2 linked regions of the Pelodiscus sinensis genome follow. The protein of the gene in region 2 purifies or fractionates together with the protein of the main gene of each other region. This does not show direct contact. Links are inferred from orthologs where the notes say so. Each region holds a gene or a part of one and is shown on either strand. Other genes may lie near its edges. The genes, in order: ACAD9 and EYA2.

Region 1 (8,761 bases), on a different chromosome or scaffold from region 2:
GCCAGCTTCCCCCAGCACCATCTCCATGCAGGGGTGAGGACGGGAGGCAGAGGCACAGGCACAGTGGGGGCGACCCGGCGTGAGCCAGGACTGAGCCCTGACGGCTCTGACTACATTTAAAAAGCAAAGCCGCTGCGACCCCCCTTATAAACTAGTCAATGGAATTCCCAACCCCTCACTTGCATCTGGAAAAGCATTCAACAGCTCCTGCAATCATCAGACACTGTCCTATTTCAGCTCACTACTGCAATTCTGAAGTAGATGTAAAGCGGAATACTGCAACCCAGTGCATCTTATCTCATCTCCTCAGATTGCAGGGAAATTAACCCCTCAAAAATATATCTGGAAGGAGAAGTTACTTGACCTTGCAATTCTGCTTCTACTGGTTCTAGTCCCTAAGGCATCAATAGTTGGAGAGAATATGAGCAAACTTCTCTCTCCATGGTAGTTCCTGGATTGCATAGGAGAACGGCCATTGGAATTTTCCATTCATTTCTTACAGAGTAAGTAGTGAGCACTCCTCAAAGCAAATAAAACTGAAGAGATTTCTGTAAGGAGAGAGATTCTCAGAAGCTGAAATACTCATCCAGCTGACGAGGCAGAGATCCTCAGTGATCTTTCCCTGACTGCATACAAGAGGAATGATCTGGAAGGTTTCACTGGCAGAAGTTTTAGTTCCAAGTGGTGATACCTGAATATTTCAAACCAGAACTACTGCTCTAGTTAAGATTGCAGAACATAGTTGTATATGCTCTTAGATTCTGAAATATTCTCTTTTTGTGCTAGCCTCCATTGAATTTGGTTGGAAAGATGAGCAAAGTCAGAGGCTTATAAATTACAGGACAGTGAAAGGAACTTTTAAATGGAAAAATTTAAAGAAGCAGTTTCACTTCTTACATCTGCCCCAGATCTCTCCTTTCAATGTGTGCTTTTATAAATTATTCTTCTATTTCACTTTTCTCTTTGCACAAACCACAAAAAGAGAAATTGACAATGCAAGGGGACACAGTCACTGTATACACAAGTCACGATAAATGCCCAAAAGTTTTTTTATTTTAATTATAGTAATAAGAAGCCATTTATGTAGAAAAAAAGATAATAACCATACCTTCTTCATTGAAGAACTTTTCTACTGGTCCTACAAACTGGTTGATTTCTTCTAATTCTTCATTAGAAATCTCTGGATAAGGGAAAACTTCCTCCTAAAATGTCAGTTTTTTAATATGATTAAGTTTATTTAAAATAAAGAGCAGGTTCAAGAAAAAACACATGGCTTTTAGATGATGATGTCTTAAAAAAAAAAAACCCAAAAGAGCAGAAAATGTTTACAGGAATTCAGATAGTCTCAAGTGAGCAAACTTATTTACAACTTTCAGTAAGTGAAAGATACTTGTTCTGTATGGAAAACAGTATTTTTCAATTATATTGCATGCTGAAACAAACCAGAAACAGCATCTGAAAATGAAAAACTGGAATGAAGAAAAAAAATTTGATATGTAAGGAAGTGCGCCAACAGGTGAAGTGAGCTATGAACAAGTGCACTGCTTTCATCCCCAAAGGCACACAACTATTAACAAACAATCAAAAGTTTAACATGTGCCTCTGTTGCTGCCTGTCCAACAGTTCACTGAAATGTGGAACTGAAAGTGACCATACAAAAATCCTCCTTTACATACATCGGAGAGTAATTTATTTTTTATTTATATATAAATAATAATTTAAAAAAATCCTTACACAACTTGTTTCCTAACAATTGAAACGAACAAAAATTGAAGTGCAAAGCATGGTTGTACACCCAAATGTGATAACTCAGCAGTACAGAATCCAGGATCTTTGGACCTTGCACAATCTCCATAGAATACAGGATAACTTCTATAGGAAAAAAGTCTCAGAGGGATAGTTGTGTTAGTCTGTAATTAAAAAAAAAAAACAATGAATGGTCCTGTAGAAGCTTAGACACTAACCAAAAAAATAAAAGATCATATCATCAGATGGAGTGGGTTGTGCCCACAAAAGCTCATCATACTATACTATCTATATTTCTGGTTTGTCTCTAAGCTGCTACTGGACCATTCATTGTTTAAGTTTCTATAGGAAAGAAACTCAAATTTCAGAATGATTTCAACCTGTAAAAAGATACTGCTCTACTATTTGCTAAGCATCTAAAACAGGAGAAGGGAACCTCCAGTCTACCCAAGTCGCAAAATGGAATCCTCTCCTGCACCCCACCACCTCCCTCTGAGACTCTGCATCTAGACCCCAACCCTCTACTCCAGATTGGAACCCCCTTCTATACGCTATGTCCTGCCCACAACACAACCTTCTGCTCCAGCCCCGAGCCCCACTCTCACACCCTGAGCCCCTTGTTTTTGACCCCAGGCCTCCATGGGGCTGGAGCTATGAGAACCTGATCACCCTGCTGCAGTGGGAAGACCCAAGTCTCCCCCCACCCCTCCATGTTGATTTTTTCTGTGGGTCACTGGCCTCTGACAGGAAAAAGATCCTCCAGCCCTGCTCTAAACTATTCTTGACACTATAAATTGCAGACTATAAACAAAAGAATAGAGTCCCAAATTTCATAATATTACAATTTACATGACATAATAAAAGCATATGGAATATTTCACTGGTAAAAGGCGACCTCCACTTTGCTTTTTTTTTTTCTTTTTACATATAAACTCATTCCTTATAAATCCCATTACAGAACTGCTTTTTTTTATGAAGGACACAGATGAAGAAAGGCAGGTAGGATGGCAAATTAAACTGGGGAGAAAGTTCCATATAAAAGGGGAAGCCCCAGTCAATTGCACAGAGGTGCCAATCTAAGGAAACTATGAACACTGTAGCACAGGTGAAGAAAAAAATATGGTAACAGATTTAAGACCAGGGCACAGATATAAACCAGGATGAAATTGTGAAAGACTCTGAATTCAGACGGAACGAATTGGCGTCCCTGTGGACGACCTCAGGGATTAGGGTTGCCAGACGGTTTCAACAAAAATACTGGACGCACCTGACATTAAATCGCAACGTGCATGACACGTGATTTAGAAGATACGTTTCTATTTTCCCAATTTGTTTCCCAGACGAGGAAGCTCAAATACTGGAGTGTCGGGTTCAAAGCCAGGCACCTGGCAGCCCTGGCAGCGACCCAGAGGCGGGAAAGACACGTGCAGATGGACGGAGGCGGCAGCTCAGTGGATCCCCCCCCCCCCCCCCATGTGTGTGTAAACACGGAAGAGATTCAGCGGTGACATGTTTGTCCTCCCATAAACGCGTTTTAAGAGCCCGCCCACCAAGCAGCAGCTTCGCTCCGGAGCGTCCTGTAGCGGGGCGGGGAGGGGAGGGGAGCGCCCCAGAGGCCTGGCCCAGGCAGTGCGGGGAGGGGAGGGGAGGGGAGCGCCCCAGCGGCCTGGCCCAGGCAGTGCGGGGAGGGGAGGGGAGGGGAGCGCCCCAGAGGCCTGGCCCAGGCAGTGCGGGGAGGGGAGGGGAGGGGAGCGCCCCAGCGGCCTGGCCCAGGCAGTGCGGGGAGGGGAGGGGAGGGGAGCGCCCCAGAGGCCTGGCCCAGGCAGTGCGGGGAGGGGAGGGGAGGGGAGCGCCCCAGCGGCCTGGCCCAGGCAGTGCGGGGAGGGGAGGGGAGGGGAGCGCCCCAGCGGCCTGGCCCAGGCAGTGCGGGGAGGGGAGGGAGGCGAGGCCCGGGGGAGGCTCCCCAGAGGCTGGGCACACACGGGGGGGGGGGAGGGGCGGAAGTCCGGCCTCACCTTCCAGAGCTTCCCGAGGAAAAGCTCCTTGGCGTAGGCGCAGCGGGGGCCGCCAGTGCGCAGCTGCCGAGCCCCGGCGGGGAAGGCGGCGCGCGCCGCCCGCAGCAGGAGGCTGAGGCCGCTCATGTCCGGACGGTGCTGAGACACCCCCCCCCCGCCGCGGCCCGGCGCCCACAAACGTCGTCCGGGGCGCACGCTGATGACGTGTCCGGCGGGTCACCTGACCACAGGCGGCCGACGGAGCCTGAAGCGGGTCTCCTGCGCCAAACGGCTCCCTGCTGAGCCCATCCGCGCCCCCTGCTGGCCGCCGCCTGCCTGTCCCTTAGCTGCCTTCTGTGCCCGTCCCGCCCTGAGCCTGGGCACAGCTGCCCTGGGCCTGCTCTCTGCAGCCCCACCACCCCTCTGGCCCCTGTGGCTCTGCCCCGGGGTGATCAGATCCCAGGGCTGTGTCGACACTGGGCCACTTATTCCGGAAAATCAGCCGCTTTTCCGGAATAAGCTGCGAGCTGTCTGCACTGGCTGCTTGAATTTCCGGAAAAGCAACGACGCTCTACTGTACAAAATCAGCCGCTATTCCGGAAAAACTATTCTGCTCCCGCTCGGGCATAAGTCCTTATTCCAGAGCACTGTTCCGGAAAAGGGCCAGTGTAGACAGCCCAGTAGTCTTTTCCAGAAAAAAGCCCCGATCGCGAAAATGGCGATCGGGGCTCTTTTCCGGAAAAGCGCGTCTACATTGGCCACAGACGCTTTTCCGGAAAAAGGGCTTTTCCAGAAAAGCAGCCTGCCAATGTAGACGCTCCTTTTCCGGAAAAACTGAAAACGGAATAGTATTCCGTTTTAAGCAGTTCCGGAAATTCATGCCAGTGTAGACACAGCCCAGTTGTCTTGTCTCGCTCTGCCTTTCCCCAGTGCTGCTTAGGGCTGGTTGCCCGATGGTTTCAATGAAAGTACAGGACACACTTAATGACATCGCAATCTACATGACATCTTATTTAGAAAATACCAGACGTTTATATTTTCTCAATTTGTTTCCCAAACAGAAAGCTCAAATATTGGACTGTCCAGTTCAAAACTAGACACCTGACAACCCTAGGTATGCCCTGTTCAAAGTACCCCTACTAGGCTGCTTGGTCCCTCTTCCTCCAGAACTAGAGCAAAGATAAACACTCACTGCATAGCAGCCCTTTTATACAGCCCAGCTGGGCTGTGATTGGCTGCATCAAACCTCCTTCCAGTTGGCTTCTAAGACAGCCCTCTCCCACAGTTTTTTTTAAAATCCCTTATAAACCAGAACAGAGCAACTGCCCCATTTCAGTCCCATACCTGAAATGCTGATCTTTTTCTGGACGTGCAGCCCCAAACTGAAAATGGAAGTTTATATGCTCCAGCCCTGCGTTTGCCACAACTCTCAGTTTTGGCACCCCATTTAAGGTCACTCTATCCTATAATCTTGATGTCATTTTGCACTGGCTTTCAGGAAAAAAGATACAACATTCTCTCTTTTTTTGCTTAAGTAGTCTCTCCTCACCTTAAAGTAATTATTAAGAAGAAAAAGTGATGTGATAGATGTTAGAAAACTTTTAACTTGAAATCTATGACCTCCATCACTTTATCTCACTTCTCTTTAAACTCTGTTCTAGTTCTAGCCTTCACAGCCTCCTGCAGCAAGGAGTTCCACAGGTTGACTCTTTGCTTTGTGAAGAACAACTTTCTGTTACTAGTTTGAAGCCTGCTACCCATTCCTTTCCTTTGGTGTCCTCTAGTCCTTCTTTATGGGAACTAATGAAGAACTTTTCTTGATGCACCCTCTCCACCCCACTCATGCGTTTATAGACCTCTACCCTATCCCCCCTCAGTCTCCTCTTTTCTAAATTGAAAAGTCCCAGTCTCTTTAGCCTCTCTTCATATGGGACCTGTTCCAAACCTCTGATCATTTTAGTTGCCCTCCCCTCTCCTACCCTCTCTCTTCCCCTCTCCCACCTCCTTTTCCCAGTCTTCCTGAGTTTTGTTCAATAAAGAGAGATTCTATTTTTGACCACACGTGTCCTTTATTTTGTACATCAGGAAGGGGGGCTAAGGAAGGGTAAGTGGAAGGAGGTGAGGGAGGAATGGGGTACGAGCCCCCGATGGGGAGGACTGGGCTGGCTCTGCGGGCTTCTGGGGGTGGAAGCTCTCCTGCAGCCCCCCAATTGCCCCCTCTCCCCAGATGGCTACCTGCGGCAAGTGCAGCCAGGCTGATGGCCGAGTGCTGTGATGTGCCCAGTGTGGGTACTCCGGGCAATCCAAGCCAGGACTGCTTTGCAAGTCCGGGGTGGGGGTCGGGTCCCTTTAAGCACAGCCCTTGGCTAGCCTGAGGCAGCAGCTCCACGCTCTAAGTCCTCATCTGATGCCCTGCCGGCACTGCTTCCGGCCATCCTTAACCCCGGTTCAGGGTCCACTTAATGTGGACATGCTAGTTCGAATTAGCAAAACGCTAATTCGAACTAGTTTTTAGTCTGGATCCGTTAGTTCGAATTAGCTTAGTTCGAATTAACTAATTCGAACTAAGTTAGTTCGAATTAGCGCCGTAGTGTAGACATACCCTACGAGTCTATGAGAATTGACAACTTTTTTTCTCCATTTTTTCCTCTTCTCTTTCCGTCCCCATCCCCTCTTTTTTTGCTATTTATTTGCAACCCGGACTCCTTTACTCCATTCATCTGAAGAAGTGGGTTGTACCCACAAAAGCTCATGATGCCATCTACAATTTTTGTTAGTCTCTAAGGCTATGTCTAGACTGCAGGCTTCTTTTGGAAGAAGCTTTTCTGGAAGAGATCTTCCGAAAAAAATTCTTCCGAAGGAAAGCATCCACATTGCCAAAGCGCATCGAAAAAGTGATCTGCTTTTCGAAAGATAACAAGCATACTGAATGGACGCTCTCTCATGTGTAACCTGTGATTACTATGGGAGGAATGGCCAGCAGGAAGCCTGTGTTTTTTCCTCTTTCATCTTCTGGTGAAAGAACTCCCTCTTCCCCGTCCACACATGCTTTTTTCTGAATGATCTCTTTCGGAAAAAGGTTTCTTCCTCGTAGAAAGAGGTTTACCAATGTTGGAAAAAACCCTCAGTTCTTTCAATTTTTTTTTGAAAAAATGTGATTGCAGTATGGACATAATTGAAGTTTTTTCAGAAAATCTGCGATTTTTCTGAAAAAACTCTGTAGTGTAGACATATCCCAAGGTGCTGCAGGGCTATTGGCTGTTTTTTAAGTTTTTTCAGGGTAAGGGATTTCACTTTCTATAGCTATTCTTTTTTACATAAATATGAAGATAATACAGGATTTAGGGTCCCGGTAAGAATCTGAAGTGCTGTAGCTTTCTGGGAATGGCTCATTTCAGCCAAGGTCAACCCACCTGTGCTTATATGCACCAGCCACAAATCAGAAAAGTATCATTATTCTGGACAACACTTCAGCAACTTAAAGGCACTCCTGAACCTGGCCCTGAATTTGTCATTGCTTGAAGAGAAGCTGGTGTTTTCAAATGTTTGTGTTTTGAACAATTCTGTTACATTCGCAGTAATAAAGCAACAAGACACCACTATGGTAGAATTTCCACACATAAGGAAGGGAAGCACATAAGGAAGGAGCTTTGTGGCAAAGCAGGTGTCTTGAAAACCTTGGGGTGAAAGCTGGACTTCTACTCACTACCATTGAGTCAAGATTTCATCCATGCTAGTGATTTCACACTGGCGTAAGTCAGGAGTAACCTCACTGAAGGCAGTGGAATGACATAGGTATAAAACTTGTGTAAACAAGATCAAAACCAAGCCATTGCTTTTAAGTCTGTAGTGGTAGATAAGGCTAAAGTAAGAAAGAAAAGGAGAGGACAGAAAGGAGAATGGAAGATCATTGTTAGTACAGAAAAATAAGTGATATCAACATTATAAGGAAATGACACCATAACTCATCAACTAAGGCCAGTATTCAGTAGCCAGTGTTATTTATTTGTTTAGTGTGGAGTTGAATGTTTTAAGAACATATGTGAAGTTTGCAAGCAGTTTTTTTTTAATTTAGTTTAGAGAAAGTAAAATTTCAATTCAAGCCATAGCAACTTCAAACAATCCACTTGTTAAAAGATGCAGGCTAAAAGCTATCCGGATCTTAGTGTTCCTGAGGCCTGGAGTATACTCTGTCATTTACAAATATATATGAGATGGAAAATAACAGGGAAATATTGTATAAGCTATGTTTTCTTCTTTATCATTCCTATCTGCTTTTGGCATATGAGATAGGAAAGTGGGGTTGATAGGCCATAGCCAATGTGTTTCAGAGTAACAGTGCATGTCTAGGTAACGGTGCGCAAAACCAGTGTTACTGGGTAACAGTGCATGTCTGGGTAATGGTGCATGTAACCAGATTGTTACTGGGTAATAGTGCATGTCTGTGTTGCTGGGTAATGGTGCATTACGTCTTCATTCAAAGCTACTTTATAATAGGAATGAATTAATTACCTGATTCTTCTGGTCTGTTGTGATTGAAGCAGCTGCATATTGATTGCTCGTGCTGTTGCTTCAGATAAAAAGCGTTTTACACTTCTTTGCCAAACATGCATTAAAGTCTTATTTTGCAGCAATAATGAGTAGTTGTAGATATGAAATATTTTCCCACTGTTCAAAATGCATAAAAACTTCATTAGCATTAGAAGAAATTAATTCACATTGAGGAATACCAGACAGAGTCTTTCTTTGTGTATTATCTACTTCAGTTAAAATCACTACCTCTATAAGGAAGGAATCAAATGAAAACTGAAGTTGCTGTGTAAGTTACCCTATTGCACAGCTAATCAGTTTTCTCTCTCTCTTACCCTACTCTGGCAAATTGATTTATTTCATTTGGCTGACATGTCTTCCAAACCATGCAGCGAATTTCACATTTGAGTTATGGTGACAATGCTAAGTAAAAACAGCATTTGCTTCCCAAAAGTTGAGTAATTAAAGGACCCAAACTTGCTAAAAATAAT
Region 2 (8,942 bases):
AGTCAACAGGACTACTCGTGCTTAAAATGAAATAAGTCCATTCATGTTTGCGGGAATTATACCTATTTTAAGTCATTTGTTCTTTAGCAAAAACTAAGTGTCCATCACAGTTATCTAAGCACAATTCAGTAACACCAAGCATAAATTTGTCAATACTTCAATGTGCCTTGTTACCATAGTGCATGTCTGAATTTAACACGTCTGTATAATAGTAATGTCTGCTCGTGTTGTAACTTAGTATAGATTCTTAGAGTTTCTCTCCAACTAACATTTTATTCCTCCTAAATGAAGCTCTCTTATAATGAAATTTAAAATGACAAAGGTTGTGACATTTTTTAAACAATAGCGCATTTAGACCCTTTCAACCAAATTATGGTCTTATAATTAGCAAGTCATGGGGATCTAGTCTCACTGAAATATTTAAAAACAAAATGGTGGTGAGGGAATACAAATGATAATGTTTAATAGATAAATTTATAACCTGCTGTTGTTTATTTGAATAAATCTGTCACATGAACAATTTGATTTTAATTAATTTTATTATTTAAGATAAAATCATGAAGTACTCTTTTGAGAGGATTTTTCTGGCTTTTTTTGGATTTTGGAGAGTAGTTTGTTAAAAAACAATCATCAGGGTTATTGGCTGTAATACGCCTCTCCAAATGAATTTCAAATGTGATTTTTGAAAGATGATATTGGAACATATTCAATGCTACAAATACTTACAACTCTGTAGGACAACCATCTTGAAGTCTCTCATAATCACACTTACAATATTATGGGCCATCAATTGTTAAGCAGAAATGGAAATTATTTGTCTTTAAAAAGTGATGGTGCAAGATGGCCCAGAAAAAGAATCAGCCTGTCCTAGATTTTTAAATCTAACATCTTAGCGCCCTTTAAGCTGTTTTTACTTTGGAAACAAACAAACAGGTTAAATATCTGCTATCTTCTTGGGCTCAGCATGCAAGAACGTTCAAAAATGTCCAATACATATGAATTGCAGTGTCACATGAAAATAGAAGTCCTCGGTGTATTTGGAAACTATGAATGACAAAATACTCCATTAAAAGCATTCCAAAAGAGGAAAATTCTCAGTAAACCAACCAGCAAATTCTATTAAGTCTGAACAATTAAACCATTTTGTCCAGTTACATTAGGAGTGTTAAGGAATATGCATGTCTGATACTCTACCAAACAAAACAGTTTTTAATAAATTGGATGTAGACCAATAAAAGTTTAATTAACCATGTGTTTTAACAATTAAAAATTTCATCCAAGAGGAACATATTAAATCAATAGATTAGTAATTTGAAATACAGCGGCTGTATACCTGAAATAATTTCATTTAGCAGCATTCTCTGAATTCAACAAGCTGTGTTTAAGCGTATAAATCACACTAAAGGTTTTCCCCCTCTGTTCACTGAGAACAAAGATTTTGTATTACTTAATTTTATTTAAGTCTATAATTAAGTTACTTAGTTGTGGTTTGTAAATAAACTTGTTTTACACTAGTTAAATGCCTTGCATAGTGTTTCTTAAAAACGCCAGTTAACTAATTTAAACTAATTCCAGATATAAAACGTTAAATCTTATGCTCCAGTACTACATTTAAAAAGCCATTGCAGAATTGATGACAATGTTTTTGCAATACAGTTTTCTGACATTTTTTAGGTTACTTTTTTTTGGGCACGAAGGTATTCAGTACATCAAGCCTAAGCTAACATTTTACAACTTCACATTGCAGTAATTTCTAATTACTTTATTTTGATGTTCTTTTAATGGTCTTGTCTCTGTTCAAACTGCTTCCTAGCATGAGTGAAATGTCTCCAAAACAAAACAATGCATTATCTTGTGTTCTGTATTGCTGTAATAGGGAGCCTTAAATCTGAAATAAGTTATCACCCTACTTTAAATGTATGCCAATGAACCCAAAATAAGAATGCAATTACACTTACAGAATAAAAAATAGCCAGAGCATTTGCAGAGTGGAAGTATAAATAGAAGTACTTGCATCTTAAGCATTATTATGGACAAATAACTGGTACTTTAGAATGGAAATGAAAAACGTATCAAATTGCTCTTTAGTGAAGGAAAAATCTCTACTTTTGTATACTAAGTTTTACTGTCTGTCCACACACAGTCACACTCTTTTCCCACATGATTCAAAACTACTGATGCATAGGGTAAATCACACCATTATCGACTTATAGCAAACAAATATTCCACTCCAGCTCATCTGATGAAAGTGGGTTTTACCCACGAATGCTCATGGTCCTATACCTCTGTTAGTTTCTAAGGTGCCACAGGACTACTCATTGTTTTTAAAATTACCCCATGTGTTCACAGAAAACTGAGAAAGCAGAATCAATATTCACCTACCCACAATGGCATGAGGCTTAACATTAATTCAATACTCCGCTCTCCCGCTTCCAGCCCCATGAGCGAACTAGTGTCACCAAGGAAGATTTCACCCACAAAGAACTCCCTTCCTACTCTTATCAACACTATTTAACCCCCCTGCTCAGTCTCGTTCGACTCACCCTCCCTGCCTTTTGCAAACTGCTCCAAAACCATACGAGGACTGAGCAAACAAACAGCGTCATTTCCATGCTCATGAGTTTGATTTTCTGTTAACTGCTTAACCAGTGTAAAATGCCACCGATTCTCCTACCGGCTGCTGCCCCTCGCCGGGGTGGGCAAGGGCAGGGAGAAATACCGCAGCGACCCAGGCACGCCGCGGGCAAGTCTCTGCTTTTAGGAAGTGGAGGGAAGAATTTTTTCCAAGCGCGGCTCCTGCGAGGAGACAAGGAGCGTGTGCCACGACCATGCGGTCGAGTGTGACAGTTTCCTCTTCCTTCCCTGCGATGGGGCAGGTTGGGGGTATTGGTCTGGGGAGATGCACTGGCCGGGCTCCCCACGCCCCGCTCCCCAGCCCTAAGAAACAGAAGGCGGCAGCATGGGAAGGACCGGAGCTGGGTATTTCATCCCAGCGCCCAAACCCGGTGCGTAGTGCCCGCTGGGCACATGTCCCTTAGGCAGCAGCCTGGACAAGGGCGTGGGGAGCCGTGCCTAAAGCATCCCTGGCCTCTCCCCGCCCCGAGCAAGGGCCGGTGCCCAGAGCTCCCCAATGCCCCTCTCCGTTCCACCCCGGGGCCAGCGCACTGGCAGGGAAAGGGGGCGCACTCACCACCGGCTACGGACGGTGTTCGCCCCGGGGCTCTCAGCTTCCTGTCCCCGCAGCGCCCGCCAGGGGAGGGAGGCCGGGGCAGCTGCTGCGCGGCTGGGAACTCCAGAGCCGGTGTAAGAGCAGCCTCTGCCTGGTTTCCCAATGTGCCCTCCAAACTCCTGACACAGCCCCAGTGAGCATGTGCGGAGTGTGTGTGCACATGCCCGCTGGGAGAGTGACGCCTCTGCCCTTACCTTCTCCCCCGCCAGGAGTCCTCGAGCGACCCCGGAGCGCAGGGCTGCTGGGGAGACGGAAGGGCAGGTGTTAGACAGCGGTGTCACAGAACTAGCAGGGGATTGCAGCGCTCTGGTGCGCCTCTGCAGTACTGGAGCAAAGGATGCGGGGGGCAGGCGTGGTCCCTAGAGTGAAGTAAAAGTTGGAGCCAGACTTAATAACCAACACCCCCATAAAATCATGAGAGGGGTTGAAAAAAATCACCATAAAAACAATATTTGGGGATTTATTGTCGCTTGCCTGCTAGCTTGGAGCCTGTAGGGCGCACTTAGGCTTGAAAATGTGACCCTTCTCCTCCCACACGAGTGTTAGAAAAGAGAGAGAATTCGGAGAGAGAATTCTGAGCGCCTCAGGGAATCAATTGCTTGTATCCAAAAGCTAAGATCAGAGGTAAATCACCAAATATGACAACTTCTTGCCATAAAAAAAGCCACCAAAGTTGGCAGCACTCAAGAGCTGTTACCCCAATAATGATTTCATGGTGCCGTCAAGAAGTTTTCATAGGGTGAGATACACAGGGTTGTTCCATGTACATTGTGCAAATGTGTCTGCTAATATATAGAATATATTTTTACTCTTAATTGTCTTTCATATTACTCTGCATTCCTCTTAATTATCATTCTTGATTGTATTTATTTTGATTTTACTGACAATTGTTTAGCCTATTATTTCCCTCTTCTGAATTCATAATGCTTCTGCTGCTGTTGTCAAACTTGCCTCCTATTATAAAACGTTGTTTGGCTAAAGAAGGACCTTTACAAAATGTGACAAAACATAACAAAAACCAATATATGTTTTCCATCATTTAGAAATGCATAATAGTATAGCATGCTTTTGTTGGTTTTATTAAGATAAATAAGTAGCTATCAATTGATATAAATAGCCATTTAAATTGTCAACAAAAGAGATTGATGAGGTAACTGGTTTCAAAGTGGATGTCCAAATATCAAAACTTCTTCATAGAAGTTGGTTTCCACTACAGTAAAACAATTGTTTTTGTGGCAGTTTGCTCTTATACATGCTACTTCACTGACGTTATTTCAAAATAACATAGTCTGTGTCTACACTACAAGCAATTATTTCAACATAATATTGAAATAATGTCCAGCTGGAGGACTTCTTGCTCCAACTCCTGCAACTCTCATTTTACAAGGAGGATGAGAAGTTGGAGAAAGAGTGCTCTTCCTTAGACTTTCTGCTGCGTAGACAGCACCAAAAGCCTAAATAAGCTATTTCAACTTAAGCTACGCAATTGACATAGCTGAAGTTGCGTAGCTTATTTCGGCTTTAGCCCAGCTGTATTGACATGCTAGGGCCTGACCCTGAAAACACTTACATGAGTAACGTGATTCACCTGAGTTGTCCTACTGTGATCACGGATGTGCCAGCAACAGAGTTTTTCACAGTGCAGAAGATGTATGCACCACCCCAAGCAGCCCCTTCAGATAGGGAAAGCCTATAATTTCTTCTGTTAGGAGAGTCAACCCACCGCAATACAGGGTAGCTTGATACATGAGTCACACAAACAATTAGAAACACTCATACATGTCCCATATATACACAACAAAACCACGAGATAACACAGATGCATTCTGATCCTCTCAGTACATACACATTACTGATTTGTACTTATATGCGTGGGGAGACGTGCATAAGTACATACAGGGGCGGATGAGTTTTGCGAGGCTCAGGACACGGGGCCTATTGAAGCACAGGGCCTGGGGCAGCTGCCTCACTCGCCCTGCCCTATATCCGCCGCCGAGTACATACCATCTACCCCACATTCTCACACATACAGACAGTCTCTTCCACACATATTAATACACTCATGGATTTTACTCATTTGACAATGGAACAAAAACATCACTACTACTAGACAGCTGTTTTTACTAAAATCCTTTGGATCAGCCTGACTGCAAAGTATTCCGACATTTCAAAAGAAATCTAGAGTCCTGCATCAGTATGGAGCTAGAAGAGTTCCTAACATGAACTGCCTTCCATAGCCCCCAAAACCAAAACTCTTTCAGTTGTTACTCTCACTCTTCTCCATAAGTTCACAGAACTAACTCAAGGATTTGCTGCAGTTCTGAATTCATGTCACTCGTGTTAAATTAGCCTAAATCACTAGCCCGGATTATCCTTTCTCTGATTCTTTTCACCCGCCCAGAATTCTGACTCAATGACTGGTCCACAGGCTATCCAGAATTAACTATGTCTTTCAGGGTTAGTCTCTACAACACTTTCTCCTTCCTCCAATAACCTGATTGCCCTCTTAACTCGGCTATTTACCAAGTAGGTAAATATGGAATGGTACTTTAAAATGTCTTATATACAAAATTAACTCAGCTCCTCATTTAATTAAGTATGTTAGTGGCTGCACAATGTTATGCACATGATCAATCATATTGAACTCAGTGGCTATGTCTAGATTGGCAAGTTTTTCCGCAAAAGCAGCTGGAAAAACTTGCCAGCTGTCTACACTGTCCGCTTGAATTTCTGCAAGAACACTGACTTCCTACTGTCTGAAATCAGTGCTTCTTGTGGAAATACTATGCTGCTCCCATTCGGGCAAAAGTCCATTTTGCGCAAAGCTTTTGCGCAAAAGGGCCAGTGTAGACAGCTCAGATTTATTTTGAGCAAAAGCGAATCTAGATTGGCATGGACGCTTTTCCGCAAAAAATGCTTTTGCGGAAAAGCGTCCGTGCCAATCTAGACGCTCTTTTCCGCAAATGCTTTTAACGGAAAAGTTTTCCGTTAAAAGCATTTGTGGAAAATCATGCCAGTCTAGACGTAGCCAGTAAGTTTACTCATGTACTTAAAGCCAGGCACATGCCTAGCTTTATTATTATTATTTGTATTAGTGCCCAAGGACGCTCGGTCATACATCTGTTATGCTAGGTGCTGTACAAATTCAGAATAAAAAGGCAGTCCCTGCCCACCAAAGAGTTTACAGGCAAAGCAATTATTAATTGTGGTCTGAAACACTTGTTATGAGCGGATGGGCAAACAGCTCTATATAGTAGCATGTTGATTTATCTGAAGTACTTTAGTAATATGTTTAGTAGAGAAGTTTTGAAGGGGGGGAATTCATTTTCATAATTCAAAATATTTTGAGCCATTTTGATATATAGCTTTTTATATCACTTTTCATCTGGAGATCTTATAGCACTTAAGTCAGAAAAAAAAGTTTCATTATTTCCATTTTATGGCTGGAGAATCTGAGGCAAAAAGAGGTGAAATCATTTGTGATAGGTTACAGAACAAATCAGGATTAAAAATTGGGATTTCCTAACTCCCAGCCTTGTGCTTATTCCAATAGTGCATGCTGTCTCTGTGGATTAAATAACAAATGGATGTTGTGCAGACATATGTGAATTAATAACAGTTCAGAATCTATATGTCCAATTACTAGATAGCGTTTTTTATGTTCTTACAGCTGAGACAGTTGAAGGGCCATCTGGCTAATGCTCCCAGAAGGATGCTTTCCGTTAAAGGCATACAATTTTCTCCTCAGACACCTGAGAGAGAGAACTGTCTACTTTACCTTCATGTGGGAAAAGAATCAAGACCATAAGATCCTAAGCACAAGCAAAACTGTTCTCTACAACTAGGGCGTGAATGTAACAGTGACATGGACTCTGGTTAGTCATTCATAGATTTTACTATTTACTAGATTTGTTATTCAAAATGGATTAACGTTCTGCCTAACTCTGGGAAATATGGAACCGTACCTGCTGCTTTGTTTCACTGTTATAGCTATGTGTAGCTATGTAAAATTTCCAGAAACCACTTAATTCATTGCCCTGGGCCTTAGGATTCTTATGTATTTCCAGAAGGGTGGTGTCATTCGATTCAGAGCTGGTCCTGTGACTTCTAGACACTGAAAAGATAAAACTATTGCCCAAAAATGCAAGTGGAAGAGTGAAGTATATCCACGAGAGCTGAGCAGGATCCAGAATTTTCATCCCATGGGAAACTTGTATTTCTGAAAAGAAAAAAAAAAGAATTGGAATAAATCATAAGTGCAAAATTTCCCATGCAACAGCAATATCTGGGGGTGGGGGTAGGGAACAGATTCAGAAAACCTACAAGGGAATTTTTTAAATATTTTCTTCTGGCTCCCTGGCTGTCCTGCTGGCAAGCTAGTTGTACAGCCAGGAACACTGGATAGTTCACTCAGCTGCCAGGCAAGCATCCCAGGGAGCTGGCCAGCTGAGGGCCTAACTGCCCATAGAGTCTTAGGAACCCCACTTCTACGGCATTTTGTCATGTGGACTACTGAAGAGTTGGCAGCCCCAGATCCTCTGCAGCCTCCCAGGTCAAGCTGCTGGGGAGCTGGAGCAGAAAATTCAAGTTTTGTGCAAACTGTTTTTTCTGTCAGAAAATTATTCCAAGGGAACATTCCCCAACCAGCTCTAGTATTCACCCCAAGAGGCAAGGAATGAAAACTGTTACATCAGGGAAAACAAATGTTTCCCCAGTATATCAATCCAGGCGACAAAGGGGGAAAAGTTAAGCGTAACTTAGCAGCACTTTTTAGCTTCAATTATGACTTTAAACCAACTCCTGAAACCTACCTAGACATGTGGGAAGTTGCACGGATTCCAGTCGGGGTAGAGAAGTATGTGATAGGATATGATCCAGTATTGCCAATCCTAAGCATCCAATAATTATGAGCAAAACCCCAATCATTGGCTTAGAAATTATGAGATTTCAAAAATAAAAAGTTTAGAGTCCTTTTTGTCTTCTTGTATTTGAGTCTTTAGGGTTTTTTAAACTTTTTTTTGCAATGATGAAGGCCAACAACTTCCTCCTTCCTCATTCCCCATGAAAGATGTGATTATTAGCTAAAAATATGATTCTAGGAGTGAAGGGTATAAGAAAAACTCCAAATTACATGATACTTGGTATTAAATAGCAAGAGCTAGTGACACTATGGTCTCATAACAATTATCTCCTGGACTGCTGTAATATTTGTCTCCCCAGAACTAAATATTTGGAATGATTATTGTTCATTATATAACACCTTTCATTTACATTTGCTTTATAAACCAAGGGTGAGGCATCCTACCACAAAGATTTCACAAGCTGCACAAGACCAACGTTACCCTAATCCTTACTTGTTATAGAGAGAAACATAGTTTTTTGTTTTTGTTTTTTTGTTTTTAATTTGCCCCCAGACTACTAGGACTCAGCCTTACAAGGAACAGAACATGCTGTGCCTGATCCAAAAAGGAGTAATAAGCACATACTTAACTTTAAGCACCCAAGTAGCCTCAGATTGGCCTCAATGAAGCAGAACACTTAAGTACCTATAATGGGAGTGCTCAGTTGCTCAGAGTTAAACTTGCACAAAGTGCTTTGCTGAATCAGTAAGAGTATGCTCACTCAGCACCTTGCTGGATTGAGTCCTCCATAGCTAAGCACTGCTTCAACAAAGACCCCATTCTAGCATCTCACATTTATCATCAGAACTGAA

The links.
Region 1: the proteins of EYA2 (region 2) and ACAD9 purify together in Homo sapiens (affinity purification with mass spectrometry; 3 studies listed by BioGRID and IntAct, with this or other methods). This does not show direct contact. The link is inferred for Pelodiscus sinensis from reciprocal best matches to the Homo sapiens genes EYA2 and ACAD9.

What each region holds. Positions count from the first base shown.
Region 1 is NC_134721.1:48,472,744-48,481,504, forward strand, and holds the start of ACAD9 (complex I assembly factor ACAD9, mitochondrial), read right to left. Parts: upstream 3,947-8,761; 5' UTR 3,888-3,946; coding exon 3,762-3,887; intron 1,203-3,761; coding exon 1,109-1,202; intron 1-1,108. UniProt on the Homo sapiens protein: As part of the MCIA complex, primarily participates in the assembly of the mitochondrial complex I and therefore plays a role in oxidative phosphorylation.
Region 2 is NC_134728.1:22,269,441-22,278,382, forward strand, and holds the start of EYA2 (protein phosphatase EYA2), read right to left. Parts: upstream 3,445-8,942; 5' UTR 3,424-3,444; intron 3,367-3,423; exon of another isoform or gene 3,191-3,366; intron 3,052-3,190; exon of another isoform or gene 2,675-3,051; intron 2,662-2,674; exon of another isoform or gene 2,383-2,661; intron 1-2,382. UniProt on the Homo sapiens protein: Functions both as protein phosphatase and as transcriptional coactivator for SIX1, and probably also for SIX2, SIX4 and SIX5.